Linked DNA regions of Canis lupus familiaris. The protein of the gene in region 1 binds, or shares a complex with, the protein of each later gene. Links are inferred from orthologs where the notes say so. Each region holds a gene or a part of one and is shown on either strand. Other genes may lie near its edges. The genes, in order: CBLL1, METTL14, WTAP and RBM15.

The links.
Region 2: CBLL1 (region 1) and METTL14 share a complex: the UniProt entries of both Homo sapiens proteins name them as parts of the WMM complex. The link is inferred for Canis lupus familiaris from reciprocal best matches to the Homo sapiens genes CBLL1 and METTL14.
Region 3: CBLL1 (region 1) and WTAP share a complex: the UniProt entries of both Homo sapiens proteins name them as parts of the WMM complex. The link is inferred for Canis lupus familiaris from reciprocal best matches to the Homo sapiens genes CBLL1 and WTAP.
Region 4: CBLL1 (region 1) and RBM15 share a complex: the UniProt entries of both Homo sapiens proteins name them as parts of the WMM complex. The link is inferred for Canis lupus familiaris from reciprocal best matches to the Homo sapiens genes CBLL1 and RBM15.

Annotation. Positions count from the first base shown.
Region 1 is NC_049239.1:13,103,203-13,107,277, forward strand, and holds the start of CBLL1 (E3 ubiquitin-protein ligase Hakai), read right to left. Parts: upstream 2,813-4,075; 5' UTR 2,439-2,812; coding exon 2,426-2,438; intron 2,299-2,425; exon of another isoform or gene 2,171-2,298; intron 1,981-2,170; exon of another isoform or gene 1,817-1,980; intron 1,790-1,816; exon of another isoform or gene 1,658-1,789; intron 1-1,657. UniProt on the Homo sapiens protein: E3 ubiquitin-protein ligase that mediates ubiquitination of several tyrosine-phosphorylated Src substrates, including CDH1, CTTN and DOK1. Targets CDH1 for endocytosis and degradation.
Region 2 is NC_049253.1:2,153,927-2,157,007, forward strand, and holds the end of METTL14 (N6-adenosine-methyltransferase non-catalytic subunit), read right to left. Parts: intron 1,985-3,081; coding exon 1,680-1,984; 3' UTR 501-1,679; downstream 1-500. UniProt on the Homo sapiens protein: The METTL3-METTL14 heterodimer forms a N6-methyltransferase complex that methylates adenosine residues at the N(6) position of some mRNAs and regulates the circadian clock, differentiation of embryonic stem cells and cortical neurogenesis.
Region 3 is NC_049222.1:49,504,330-49,506,742, reverse strand, and holds part of WTAP (pre-mRNA-splicing regulator WTAP), read right to left. Parts: intron 1,060-2,413; coding exon 905-1,059; intron 1-904. UniProt on the Homo sapiens protein: Associated component of the WMM complex, a complex that mediates N6-methyladenosine (m6A) methylation of RNAs, a modification that plays a role in the efficiency of mRNA splicing and RNA processing.
Region 4 is NC_049227.1:42,108,070-42,112,069, forward strand, and holds the start of RBM15 (RNA-binding protein 15), read right to left. Parts: upstream 2,803-4,000; 5' UTR 2,471-2,802; coding exon 1-2,470. UniProt on the Homo sapiens protein: RNA-binding protein that acts as a key regulator of N6-methyladenosine (m6A) methylation of RNAs, thereby regulating different processes, such as hematopoietic cell homeostasis, alternative splicing of mRNAs and X chromosome inactivation mediated by Xist RNA.

The DNA.
Region 1 (4,075 bases):
CCAGCTCCAGGTTGGGTGCAGAGCTTACTTTAAAAATAAAATCTTTTAAAAACAGAAAAGGAGCAGCAGGGATATCTGAGTAGGAACTAATTTTTTAAGTGGTCAGATCATTTGTGAATATTTTCATGCCAGGATGACTCTTACTTTCTGGTCAACATTTTAACTTGGAGAACTAGGATAATACTCAGAGACACACCCAGCCACACTACAACTTCCTAACATACTATCCTCTAAACTGTGGAAGGCGCTTCACTCTCAATTCTAGTAAGGGGCTGTAATGAGAAGTGTTTTGCTGAAGTTGCATGTTTACTACTCTAACACCAAGGTCCCAGATCTCAATTCTACAAAATTTCCAAAACCAGAGTTCCTTACAGCCCGGTTCTTGGCCCTCTTCTTCTCTGTATTCTTGTTCTTTGAGTGATCTCATCCATCCCCATTCCTTAAAACAACAGCTACCTGCTCATAAGTCTCAAATACATATTTTTCAACCCAGATCTTTCCTCTGATCTCCACTTGACATCTCCCCTTATATATCCTCGTACACAGCTCATCCTTTGCAGCCAAAAATCTCATTCTCAAGTTCCCAAGTCTCCCTTTACCACTTAAAAAAAAGACGTCTGTTTTCCTCCCAAGTTTTCCCCAACTTAGTAACGGGCACTGCCTAGCTGCTCAAACCAGAAAGGTAGTCATCTCTCCTTTCTCTCACAAAGCTCCTATTTGAATTCCACCACAACATTCGATATGCCCACTCCCCTTTTCTTTAAACCGAACCAACTTCATTACCGAGCCTCTCTTAGTGTTCTACTGCAATCACCATCTAAACTATTTTCTATCAGTCTTGTCTCTCACACCATTCTCCACAAACAAGTTACTGTGTTTTTAAAAGAAATTATGTTCCTCCTGTACTCCTGCTCAATGGCTTCAGGGATCCCCAGGTGGCTCAGCAGTTTGGCACCTGCCTTCAGCCCAGGGCGTGATCCTGGAGTCCCAGGATTGAGTCTCACATCGGGCTCCCTGCATGGAGCCTGCTTCTCCCTCAGCCTGTGCCTCTGCCTCTCTGTCTCTCATGAATAAATAAATAAAATCTTTAAAAAATAAAATAAAATCTTTACCACGGCCTTCAAAGTCCTGTACCATCTGACTCCCACCGTCCCTTCCAATCTCTTAGGGCTCATTGCTTCTTGCTAAGCTGTAGCTGACTGACCTCTACGTTTTCCTTCCTCAGAGTCTTCATATTTGCTAGACACGCTTTACTCCTGATTAATTCCATGCAGGGATTCTTCTCATCTATCATATCTCAGCTTAGAAATCCAGAAAGACCCTCCCTGACCACTCTCTCTGAAGCCTCCTCCTTTAGTCTTTACCACAGACGCTGTTAATTTTTTTTCCAAGCGCTCATCATGATCTGTAATGCTTAGGTTAAAAAACAACAACAACAACAAAAACTTCTCTATCGTGTCTTTCCCAACAGAATGTAATCTCCATGAGGCCAGGAACGCAGTTGGCCTGGTTTCCAAGTCCATCATTCCCTCTCTAGGCATACTGGGGTCTGGCATAGGTTTTGCTGACTAGCACTCACTAAATTTTATAGACAGAAATAATTTTACGCCTATATGTACAAAATTAAGTAGGCATTTGATGACTGAGAACACCTTACCCAATACTTAATACAAGAAGTATCCTTTTATCCTACTTAGGATATGGCTGATGGAACCACACGGAACAGCAGCCCCAGGTTCACTCACTCACTATCCAAAAGCCACGATGAAAAAAAAAAAGCCAAACAACACACAACGAAGAGCGGAGTCCTTCTTACTTGGAGAAAGAGATGCGGGTATCTTGAATTTAAGCTCTCCTTTGTAAACGCCCCCGAAAGAGGAGTAAGGACCACAGCCGAAGCGCGGAGCAGGCTTTGGGCTCAGACAGAAAAGCCGGTCCGAGCAGGATTCCGAAAACTCTCACCTGGCTCCCCGCTCCGCCTCGGGTCCACGAAGGACCGGCAGCGCCCCCCGCAGCGCCCGCCCGCAGCCCCCTCCCGCGCCCCGACCCTGAGCCTGGAGTCTGCCCGCCGGCACCCGAAACGCAGAGCGGGGCACCACGGTTTAAAAAGAAAAAAAAAAAAAAAAAAGGAGGCAGCGCGCCCCGGTCCCCACGAGGCCGCGCCGCCCACCGTGCGGGCGGGGAGCTCCGCAGCACCAGAGCGGCGGCTGCTGCCGGCACCGAGGCTGTAGGTACCACACCGGAGGGTAGGCCGGGAAACGGCAGGCCCTTGCCGGGCACCGGGAGGGGTCTGTGGGATTTCTCTCTCACCGCCACCCCCCAGCGCTGCAGGGCGAGCGCATCCCCGCTCCGCCCGCCGGGCAGCCAGTCCCAGGCCGGCCGAGGGGGCATGGACCCGGGACCCCCGCTGCCTCCGCCTCCTTACCAGTGTGATCCATGATTCGGCTCGCGGGGCACAGTGGGAGCGGAAGTCAACCGCGCCGGAGTCGCAGGGCGCGCGTGCGCGCTCCCTTCCGGAGCCCGCGAGGCGGAAGTGCGACCGAGCTGCCTCGGCTTGGGCCTCCTCAGGTTCCCCTCTGTCGGGTGGGTGCACTACCCAACTCCGGTGAGGGCGTCTGGCATAGTTCGAGGGAGACAAAGGGGGGTACGCCAAGAGCTTCCAGGTCGAAGGTGCTAAGCCTTGACTACAGAAATGAGACCCGAGGGCACGGGGGAACGGGGAGAGCACCAGCAGCCGGTGGAACGAACTCGCGGCAGGTAAGGCGGCTGCTCGCCCCCGCGGAGCGTTGCCTTCTGGGACTTGTAGTGCGCGGCGGCCTCGGAGCCGGCCGGGCGCAACTGCGCAGACTCGGCCGTTGGGCTTGGCCCCACCCCGGCGGGCGGAGTAACGGTTTGGAATGGCCCGCAGTGCGCGCGCGCCGGCGTCCTCCGCGCGGGGCGGGGGGGGGGGGCGTGCGGGGAGCGGGGGGGGTGCGTAGCCGCGCGCGCTCCGGAAGGCGTCCTCGGCGGGAGGTTGCCCGGGGGACGGCCGCGCCGTGGGAGCGGGGAGGGCTCTCGGCGTGCGGTCTCCATCCCGCCCCGTCCTGGCGGGCCCCGCGGAGCGCACGTGGTACCGGCCCGTGCTCCCACCGAGGAGGTGTGGTAGCGGCGGAGACGCAGCAAGGCGCCCCGCGCGCCCCTCCGCGGGGTGGGGGTGGGGGCGGGGCGGGGCCGCCCGGCGGGGGAGCGGGGGAGCGCGGGGAGCGCGGGGCCCGGGGGGAGGGGCAGCGGGGCGGTACCTAGCTCCAGCTCCTGGTCGCCGGGGGTCGCGGCCGCGGCTGCCTTCATCGTCCCCGGCCAGCGCCGCGGAGTGGGTCCGGGGGCCCCTGAGCGAGGCGGCGGCGGCCTCGCCGACCGGGCTCCGGGTGTGCGCTCCCTTCTCCGACCCTTCGCACCTGGTGCTCTCGGAGGAGTGGGAAGGAGCGCACGATTAAGGAGAAAACACGAGCCTGGGAGCCCAGGGATTTGGGTTCTATTCCTGTCGTCCCTTGGTGACGACATCGTTACCTTGGGTGGTTCACGCTTTCCGTGCCAGAGTTCCTGGATCGATAGAAGAAGATGATGATGATGATTCTCCTGCCCTCCTCCCAGGAGCGTTCTCCGGCCCCGAATCCTGGAGGGAGCGCGTGCGGCGGTGCGCTGGGCCGGTAGTGCTGCAGCGACATCGGCGTGGAGTCCTCGGGAGCGGAACCTTGAGTGCTCCGCGCTCGCCGGTGGATGGAGGTTCTCCTGGGGCCTTTAAAGATTGTACTTGTTCATGAGACACAGAGAGAGAGACCTAGGCAGAGGGAGAAGCAGGCTCCCTGCAGGGGACCCCCCCACACACCCTAAGATCACGACCTGAGCCAAAGCAAAGGCAGATGCTCAACCACCCGAACCAGCCAGGTGCCCCTTCCTGGGGTCTTGAAATACACTTCCCCGCGGCATCTGAAGCTTCCTAAACAAGTTTTTCGGTACAGTTACAGCCAAGGGGAATTGTGAATCAGACTTAACCCTTGCTTTTGTTGAAAGGTAAATTTCTGTATCACTAAGTGGT
Region 2 (3,081 bases), on another chromosome or scaffold:
ATCTTTAAAAAAAAAAAAAAAAAAAAAAAAACGCGGGTAGCCCTGGTGGCACAGCGGTTTGGCGCTGCCTGCAGCCTGGGGTGTGATCCTGGGGACCTGGGATCGAGTCCCACATCGGGCTCCCTGCATGGAGCCTGCTTCTCCCTCTCCCTCTGCCTGTGTCTCTGCCTCTCTCTCTCTGTCTATGAATGAATAAATAAAATCTTAAAAAAAAAAAAAGGCATCAAATGGTATTTGTACTAGAAAGAACGAACAGGTTGAGCAAGTTAAATTCATCAGGCTTTTAAGGATCTCAACCCTATTTCTATAATTCAGCCCTAATCTTCAAACTGAGTCTTCAGTGCATGTAATATAATCTTATTTTAGGTATAATATGAGCCAATGACAAGTTGAGAATGGCTACTAAAATGCTCACAGATCAAAACAGGAGTGATCTTAAGTCAGTCCTTTTTCATTAGGTTAACAAAGGCAATTTCACTTACAGAAAACAGACTCCCACATTTCAAAGGTTTAAAGTTTCATTAGAAAAATCATACACCAAATAAAAATATATTTTTCAAGAATAAGGGTATTTCATTCATCAGATTCATTTAAAACATGAATTATAGTACAGAGAGAAAAATGACAGCATTAAGTTTTATACAACCAACTGATCTGCAAAACCAGGCTCTTAAAAACAACACACCATATGGTTTTAATAAAAGGCAATTGCAATTCTGTTTTCTAAGCTGTCTTAATTTGAGTTTTCTGTAATTGATTTTTATATTGTTTTCTCCATAACAAGTTCAAAGATATCACTTCCTCACCACCAAGTACTTTATTTTCCAAAACACCTGATAACCAGGTGTCTCTGTTGTTGCCTAATTTCTTTTACTTTGCTAAGGAATATGAAACTGTTTTGAAAGTCAATCCAAGTTCAAGTCTACACCAAAGGTCTAGCACTTGGATATTTGTCCTTTGCTTCTGAAGAAGTGTGATTAACAGTCATCTGGAACTATGCAACTCAAATTATGATGAGCTTTTTCTCTTTAAGGCTACCTACTAAATTCTTCCTCTGCCCACTGCTGGGAGTGCCAACCTCCTCTAACAGATTTAGATTTGGGAGGTGATTTTGTTCAAATTCTCTCAATTTCTCAGTGGTAGTCATATCTGAGTTTAAGATTTTTTAAAAAGAAGTCTCTTTTTATTGTTTCACCAAGAAAATATTAAAACTTTGACAGAAGTTAACCATCTGTCCCAACTCCATTCTCTCAAGGCTCCCAAACAGCTTTCTATTTACTATGACAGCAATGGCAGGATGCCTATTATCAAATGCTCTTGGCACTAGTAGCATACTACAGACTGGGTCTTTTTCACTGTTCAGTTAAATTATTTCTAAAAAGCAAAAGACTTTGTAATTAGTTGGAATCTATCAGAATAAATTAGTCTCTGAAAGGAAGGTATTTGTTCATTATTCAGTTACATGCACATAACCAAAGGCAGGATGATTTGTTTATCCTGGACAAGACTACACAATGTGTGTAATGACTGCAAGGGAGATTGGCTAAAATATTCCTGCAGCTCAAAGAAACTAAAGCAAAATGCAAGCTGGAATTGAGTACTAAACAAAGCCTCCCATTTGGAATTTAAACTACGGTAAAGAAGGTATAGGGGCATGAATAGATCACGGTCTTACAAAGTTATCGAGGTGGAAAGCCACCTCTGTGTGCTCCTCCACGGCCCCCCCTAAAGCCACCTCTTTCGCCTCGGAAGTTAGATCGATTTCTTTCTCGTCCACGGCCAGCAGAAGTTCCACCTCTTCCTCCACCCCTGGGAGCTCCACCTCCCCGATCAGACTTAGATTTGGGAGGAGGTGATTTTGGTCGAAGTCTCTCAATTTCTTCTGTACATCCAGTCAAGTAGGAATTAGGAGCACTAAAGTAGGATGCATATGTTTCTGCATTATAGTTGCTATTTGTAAGGGTTGGTCCAACTGTAAGCCAGCCTGAAATAGACGGAAAGAAAGATTATCTTTTTTCCCCCTCATTTCTCTTACTGATCCTTTCGGAGCTACTTCAAATTTCTAAAGTATTTTTAAAGTTCCCCCTATCACTCACTCAATATTTATCTTTTTTACAACACATGGCATTTAATCATGGTTATACAGATTTCATATGTATATATCTTATTTCACCTGCATGATTGTAACTTTGTAATATATCTTCCTCATTGTCTCCATCCATGTTTCACATTTTGTAAGACTAGCACTTAGAAAAAACATTACACACTACAGTGAGTTTGGGCTCAGTGAAAATGTAATAAACTTCGCTTACCTTCCTACTTGGGAAAATAATACCATTGTTTTCTGATTAAGATCCTGGAACCAACTTTGCCTCTACTCTTCCGAACCACAACATTAACCCTGCTGACAGGTGCCAGAAATTCAACCACTACCATGTTGCTCCTATTCATTCCCATTTTTCCATGTCTATTGCCACCCTCAAATGTGAGCCTTTATTTTTCTACTAGGCCAGCCTCCTGTACATGTCACAGACACACATACATATTGTAATGCTCTCCCAGCCTCTCCTCCCTGAAAGTGGAAAGCCTAAAACAAACCTTAAAATATGTCACTTCTCTGCGTAACCTTCTAGGGCTCTCCACAAAGCACAGATTCATGTATATGTTATCTAAGGTCTTTTATGATGCAGCTTGAAATAACTTTCTTTTAAAAAAATTATTTATTTATTTATTTATTCATGAGAGACACACAGAGAGAAGCAGAGGCATAGGCAGGGGGAGAAGCAGGATCCTCACAGGGAGCCTACTGCGGGACTTGATCTCAGACTCCGGGATCATACCCTGAGCCTAAGGCAGATGCTCAACTGCTGAGCTACCCAGGTGTCCCATTGAACTACCTTTCCAGTCACATTTCTCATTAATGCCTTTCATGACAATTTCATTTGAGTTAAAAAAAAAAGTTATCACTATAGTATCTATTTCCGTACAAATCTCTACCTCTGAAAAAAAACACAACAAAAAACAAAAATTCCATCTGTTTGTTCGATCCTTTCAACCTATTGAAAATTACATCCTTCAAAA
Region 3 (2,413 bases), on another chromosome or scaffold:
GAAAGGAAAGTCCTTCATTACTATACAAAAATCTCCTAGTCACTATGTTTACATATAGTAAGAGCTAACAACTATCACTTTGAAAAGGTACTTTAAAAGGTATTCTAACCGATCTTTACAATTGTCAAATATATTCATTTTCAATTTAATTTCCAGAGTTCAGGTATTTTAGTTACTAATCATCTTCCTCAAATTCAGTTACACTTGCCCAAGAAAAGGCGGGTGGGGTGGGCGGAGGAAGCAGCTGACAATTAAATTCAGTTTATCTTGAACAAATTTAAATATCACATCTTGAGGCAGCCCTGGTGGCTCAGCGGTTTAGAGCTGCCTTCAGCCCAGGATGTGATCCTGGAGACCCGGGATCAAGGCCCACGTCGGGTTCCCTGCATGGAGCCTGCTTCTCTCTCTGCCTGTGTCTCTGCTTCTCTCTCTGTGTCTTCCATGAATAAATAAATAAAATCTTAAATAATAAATAAATAAATATCACATCTTATTCACTCAATAGGACCTTAACAGGTACAATCAATTCTGATTTCTAGACCACAAGAAATAGCCAAATACTGCCAAGATTTACACTTGGAAAGTGATTAAATGGAGATAATCCCTTTTAAATATTGAATATAAATGTGTATATGTATGCAGTGCCTTCTTTCACCAAATTGCACCTCCCCCAAAAATCCAAAAACTTATGAAATTTGCACAATAAACAAGAAAGTCGCGGGGGGGGGGGGGGAGGGGGGGCACTAAAATGGCTTTGCTGACTCAACTAGAAATGTTCCATTAATAATTTTATAGAATCATCAGCACAAATTAGTACATACAGAATCTAATCTGTAATATTCATGCCTGGCAACTTTTTAAAAGCCAGTGCAAAGTTAATCAAACTTTTCAAAAAACCCCTTACCATCCTGACTGCTTTTAAGCTCCTCACTATATTTCTTCTGTAAAGCCAACTCTGCTTCAAGTTGTGCAATACGTCCCTGGGACAGCTGCCTTCCAAGCTCTTGATTCTCCTGGATAAGCATTCGACACTTCGCCATTAACTTTTTGCCTGTTTGGCTGCAAAGGAAAGAGCCATCCATCACAAAATGAAGACAAGTGTCTATAACCTTGTTTGCTTGCAATTATTACAGCAATAGATGTAACACGTACAGAATATAACTGTCACGGCAGATGCCTCCCCTATAATTACCATCTTCTGTCCTGGAACACGTCCATCTTCTGCATTTCAGTATTTTGCCAATACAGCAGCAAAAATAAACCCTAAACAAAAAGTACCCAAATGGCCACATTTTCTATTACACTAATAAGGATTCTGATCTCTATTTTCACCCCTAATTATTATTTGAAATGGAAACAAGCCAGTTAATTAAGGCAAGCCTCATATATACCAGTATTAATAAAACACTAAGGTACTCAGTTTCATGGAACAGAAAAGTTCTTAAAAAGGTAAATGTGATAACATAGAATATATTTATTTTTGCTAAAGCAGCATTTTATAAGAGTGCCTATTCATAGGCAGTTCTCAGAAGGATGTTTATTGCAGTGAGGCATATACTCAGTAATTGTTTTTAGAAACTTTTAATAGATTTTTTTTTTAAGCAATCTATACATTCAACATGGGGTTTGAACTCATAACCCTAACTAAGATCAAGAGTGGCATGCTCTACTGACTGAGCCAGCCAGGCATCCCTAAAGAGCCTTTTAAAAAAGAGCCTTTAGACTATTTCTATCCACTAAGCTCTAATTTAACTTTTTTAAGCTTTAAGCTGTCGTAATGGTAACAAGTTTTTAAAAATTTAATATCAATACGTGGTTAAGATTTTATTCATGTTACAAAAGATTATCTTTAGAAAAGTGAGATTTGGGTTATTACAAATAATGCAAATATTTAAGTATCTGCACGGGAGCAGATATTGGGAGCACCAAACTTTCCACAAATTAGTTACCAAGTATTAGTGCAATCTTCTAAAGTGTGTACACACACATACACAGCAAGTGCAAAAATGTAATCAGTCTTAACAACAGTTCTCAATAAAACAACTTCTTTAGCCTCAATAAGTAATAAGAGAAATGATCACTTTTAAAGGGATCTGATTTAAGCACATAATTGTGAGGTTACCTGATACTTGAATAGGGACAGCCTGGTATTTTTTTAAAGTGTATTTAAGTAGGTTCTATATCCAAAGTGGTCCTTGAACTCACGACCCCAAGATCGAGTTGCACACTCCACCAGGGACAGTCTGATATCCTCATGATGGTGTTAACATTCAGAAAGATCTAACCAGTCAAAAAAATTTTTTGCTGACACTTTCTGTTCTTTCCTCCATTTATTGGGGCTTTCACTTGCCTGATGTATTACTTCAGAATGCATCTGAACCTATTGTAAGCCTTCAGTCTTAAAAGGAGAGCA
Region 4 (4,000 bases), on another chromosome or scaffold:
CTCCAGTTGAGCCCTCCACAAGAAGACTACTAGCCACTTGGAGGTCACCCTGCAACAGATGCATGTTGGAAGGAAAGTTGCTGTTCTTCAATAGAAGCATGCCCTGCCAGGCCAAACAGAGCTTGGGAGAGGCTGCAGTGGTGGGGGCTGTCCCACCATCCTGTTTCTGGGAAGGGGACTTCAGCTTTGAGGAAGCAGTGCTGGTGCTAGGCGCACTCCCATCAGACCGGTCTTCTTTTTTCAGAGGGCTTTTTCCCTCAGTGGGAGCAGTTGTCCGGTGCTTTCTATCCCGTTCAGCTGATGCAGAGTTTTTACGGTCTCGCTTGTCACCCTGGCTCTTCTCCAAACTTCCTCGCCTGTCTCTGACTGGAGAGGGCCTTTCCAAGATAAGAAGACGAGAAGATCGATCATTGTCACTGTTGTAGCGATCCCGGCTACTGCTCAATTCCGGGCTGCGGTCGGGAGAAGGAGCACAGTGACGTTTTCGGGGACGGTCACTCTCAGGGGACCTATCCAGGTGCCGGCCCCCACTCTCCTCGGGCGGCCTTCGCTTCCTAGGCTGGTCTCTGCTGCTGGGCAGATCTCGCTCACCTCTGTCCCGGTCCAAGGACCAGCCATCTCGCCTGCGATCCAGGCTATCCAGGGGCTCGTAAGCAGGCACAGCAGCAGCTGCAGTCCTAGTGCTGCGTTCACGAACTGGGGGCGGGGGTGGCACCCAGTCAGAGTCAGGATAAAGGTCTCTGTCACGATCTCTGTAGAGTAAGGGTGGTGTCCTATCCCGAGCACCCCTCAAAGGGTCAGGTGCCCGATGTCCAAAAGCATCTGTCACCAACTCGTAATGAGTTAAGGGCAAAGGCTGCAGATACTGCTGCTGGTAACGATGTTCTGTATCTGCAAAGTCTACTCTAAGGCGACGATCTGGGCCACCAAGTGGGAAGCCACGCATATGGGTCCAGGCAGCATGAGCTGCATCCAGGCTTTCATACTGGATATATGCCCAACTATCACCTTTGCGGTAGTCTATAGTGCGGATGGTGCCAAATCGGTCAAACTCTCGTGCCAGGGCAGCAAGAGGCACCCAAGGTCCCAGACCACCTACCCAGAGGCGAGTGGTGGGTGTAGCTTTACCATAACCAATTTTGATAGGATTCCGAATAATGATCTTGCCAGACATTGCTAGTTTGGCCCGGTGAGACATGTCTAGGTTCTCAAATTTAAGGAAGCCATAGGTACTGGTCTGGCCCCGAGAGGGCCTCTTGATATCTACCTCTGTGATGACTCCAAAGCGGTCAAAAGCCCTTCTTAGGTCACTCTCTGTCACAGTGATGTCTAGGTTGCCCAAGAAAAGCGTCCGGTTAGCTCGCTGATCGTCCTCGGGTGAGATCTCATCCACTTCTCGGAAAGGAGCAGCACCTGCTCCAGCTCCCACCCTGGGCTCCAGGCTGTACGCCGGGCGCACTCTCTCATAGAACGGATAGTCTCGCTCTCTCTCCAGCTCACGGGGCAACGGTGGCGGAGGCGGGGGGGGCAGGCGGCCAAGAGCCAGCTGCTGCAACCGGTAGTCTCGGTACCCCAGGGCCGCGCCACCAGGGGAAAGCGATCTCTGGCCGCCGCCTCCAGGGGGGTGCCGGTGTCCGCCCACGGAGGCGCCCACCACGCCAGCCGACGGCGGGTAGGGATCCTTGTCTAAGGGGGAGCGGCTGCGGCGGCGGCTCACGTACACCGCCTCGATCTTCAGCGGCCGGTCATAGAGCACCAGGCGGCCTCTGGCATGCTTGGCCGCCCGCGCGTCCTCTGGCCGCCGGAAGTTCACAAAGGCTACTCGCTCATCCCCGCTGCCAGAGCCCGAGAGATGACTGATTTTGACACTTACATCACCGAAGCGCTTGAACTCGTGAAACAGTCCGTCCTCCACCGCCTCGTCACTCAGCTGGGACCCCAACTCGCTGATCTTCAGCGTCTTGTACTCCGCGCCGTCCCCAACGCCGGGAGCTGAGGAGGCGGCCCCGGAGGAACGTGACTCCCCGCCTCCACCCCGGGAGCTGCTGCGCGACTCGCCCCCGCCCGAGGAATTTTTGGTGCTCGGGGAGCTGTAACTGTGCAGGCGGCCACTGGAGCTGCCCCCGCCGGTGTCATACTCGCGGCTGCCGCCTCGGCTGCTGGACTTGTCCAGGTGGAGGCTGCGCCGCGACCCGCCGCCGCTGTCGGTCTTTCCGCTGCTACTCCCATTGCTGCCACCAGAGCCCCCTAACTTCTTGCTCCGCTCCCCGCGGGAAGTCGAGTCCTCACCACCGCGGGAGCGTTTGGGCTTGACCGGAGAGCGCTCCTTCCCCTTCATTGTTGCGGGTCGCCGGAGGTCGTCTCCGCGGAGATGCTGAGCCCGCCGCCCCGCGCTCGTTTCACACAGCGGAACCGCACGCCGCCATCTTGGACTCCGCCGCGGCAGAGGCTCCCGCCCCGCGGCCCTCATTGGTCAGCTGGCTCCTCTCTGCTACAGGCTCATTGGGAAAACGTCCCGTCCGTCTTCACATCTCCCCGCGCTCCGGAAAGGCGCCCGCCCGCCCGCTGTTATTGGGCTCCCAACGCCCGGGTCCGAGTACCTCATTGGTCGTATTTGTTGTCCATCTTAACGGCTCCTCGCGCCAGGCCGCAGCTCCGCCCCTCGCACTGTAGGGTCACCTGACCCAAACTCGGGAGGCGCTGATTGGGCGAAAAGTCTGCCCTGTAACGGTACTTCTGGCGCGGTAAAAGCGGTGATCCCACCTCCTCATTCCTTTCATTGGTTTCCGACCCCGTCCTTTAACTCACTATTTGGGAAGTCGGGCCATCTGTTCTGGCGCTTTTCCTGAGAGGCCCGCTTACAACATTCTCGCGAGAGACAGAAAGCGCTCCCTTTCTCGACCTCTTCTTCCAACTCCTCGGACGGCTGTAAGAAGTTTAAATCTGATTGGATGCTGACGAGGGAGTTGATAGGCTGAAATAGCTGTCCGTCATCCGCTTAAAGGGGCAGGCCGTACACGGAGGAGGCTGACTGAAGGTGAAAGAGCGGACCGCGCGCTCGCCGTGCGGCGTCACCGGGACGTCGCGAGAGGCTGACACGGCGCTGGCTCCGCCCCCGGCCGCTCGCGGCGTTCCGTCCACGGGCATTTACGGGGCACTTATGGGGTCCCGCGGCGTCCGTGGGTGTGCCTGGGCCGCCCGCTCGGGGCCTGTGCGGGGACCGAGCCCTCGGGGCGCGGTCCCCAGGAGGCCGGCCGCGGCAGCCGGAGAGCGCCGCAGGCCGTGGGGCTCGCCCGGGCCGGCCTCCTGGGCGCTCCCCGCCGCCCGGCGACGTCGGTCGGTTCGCTCTTCCTACGTCGCGCCCCGTCACCGGGCGAGGGCCGACGTCCGCGTGCAGCCGTGGGCGTGCGCCCCGCGGCTCCTCGCGCCGCCTCGCCGACCCCCCGGGGCCCGCCCGTCGTGAGGTGAGTCCGGCAGCCGGAGCAGGTGCTCGGGCGTCGGGGGAGGGGGGGAGGGGGGGCCAGGAAGCCCGGGCCGGCCCTCCCCGCCGCCTACCCGCCTACCCCGAGGCCCTTCTCGGGGGACACGGCTGTTGCCCGAACCCGAGCTTGGGAGCCGCGTCAGGGCCGGGGCTGCAGAGTCCGGCTCTGCCTTCGCCCCCCTTCCCCGCATGACGTCGAGGGAAGCGATAGGGATTTCGCTTCTTGCTCGGATGGAGGAAGCCTGGTGTGAGGACGTCGCGGCAGCGGGCGCACGCTCCCCCGCGTGCCAGGACCAGCTGCCAAAGCCCGCGAGTGGGCCAGGGTGTGGGACGTACTGCCGCGGGGGGTTCTCCACGGGACATGGCGGCGGCGCTGCCTGTGTTTTTGTTGATTTTTCCATAGAAACTTCACGGCGGTACTTAGGGAGTGGCCACTAAGATCGCCCTGAGACGGGGCTGGACGGTCTGGCGGGAGACTCAGCTTGTCATTGCATGTCATTCTAGCATTTCTTCTATTAA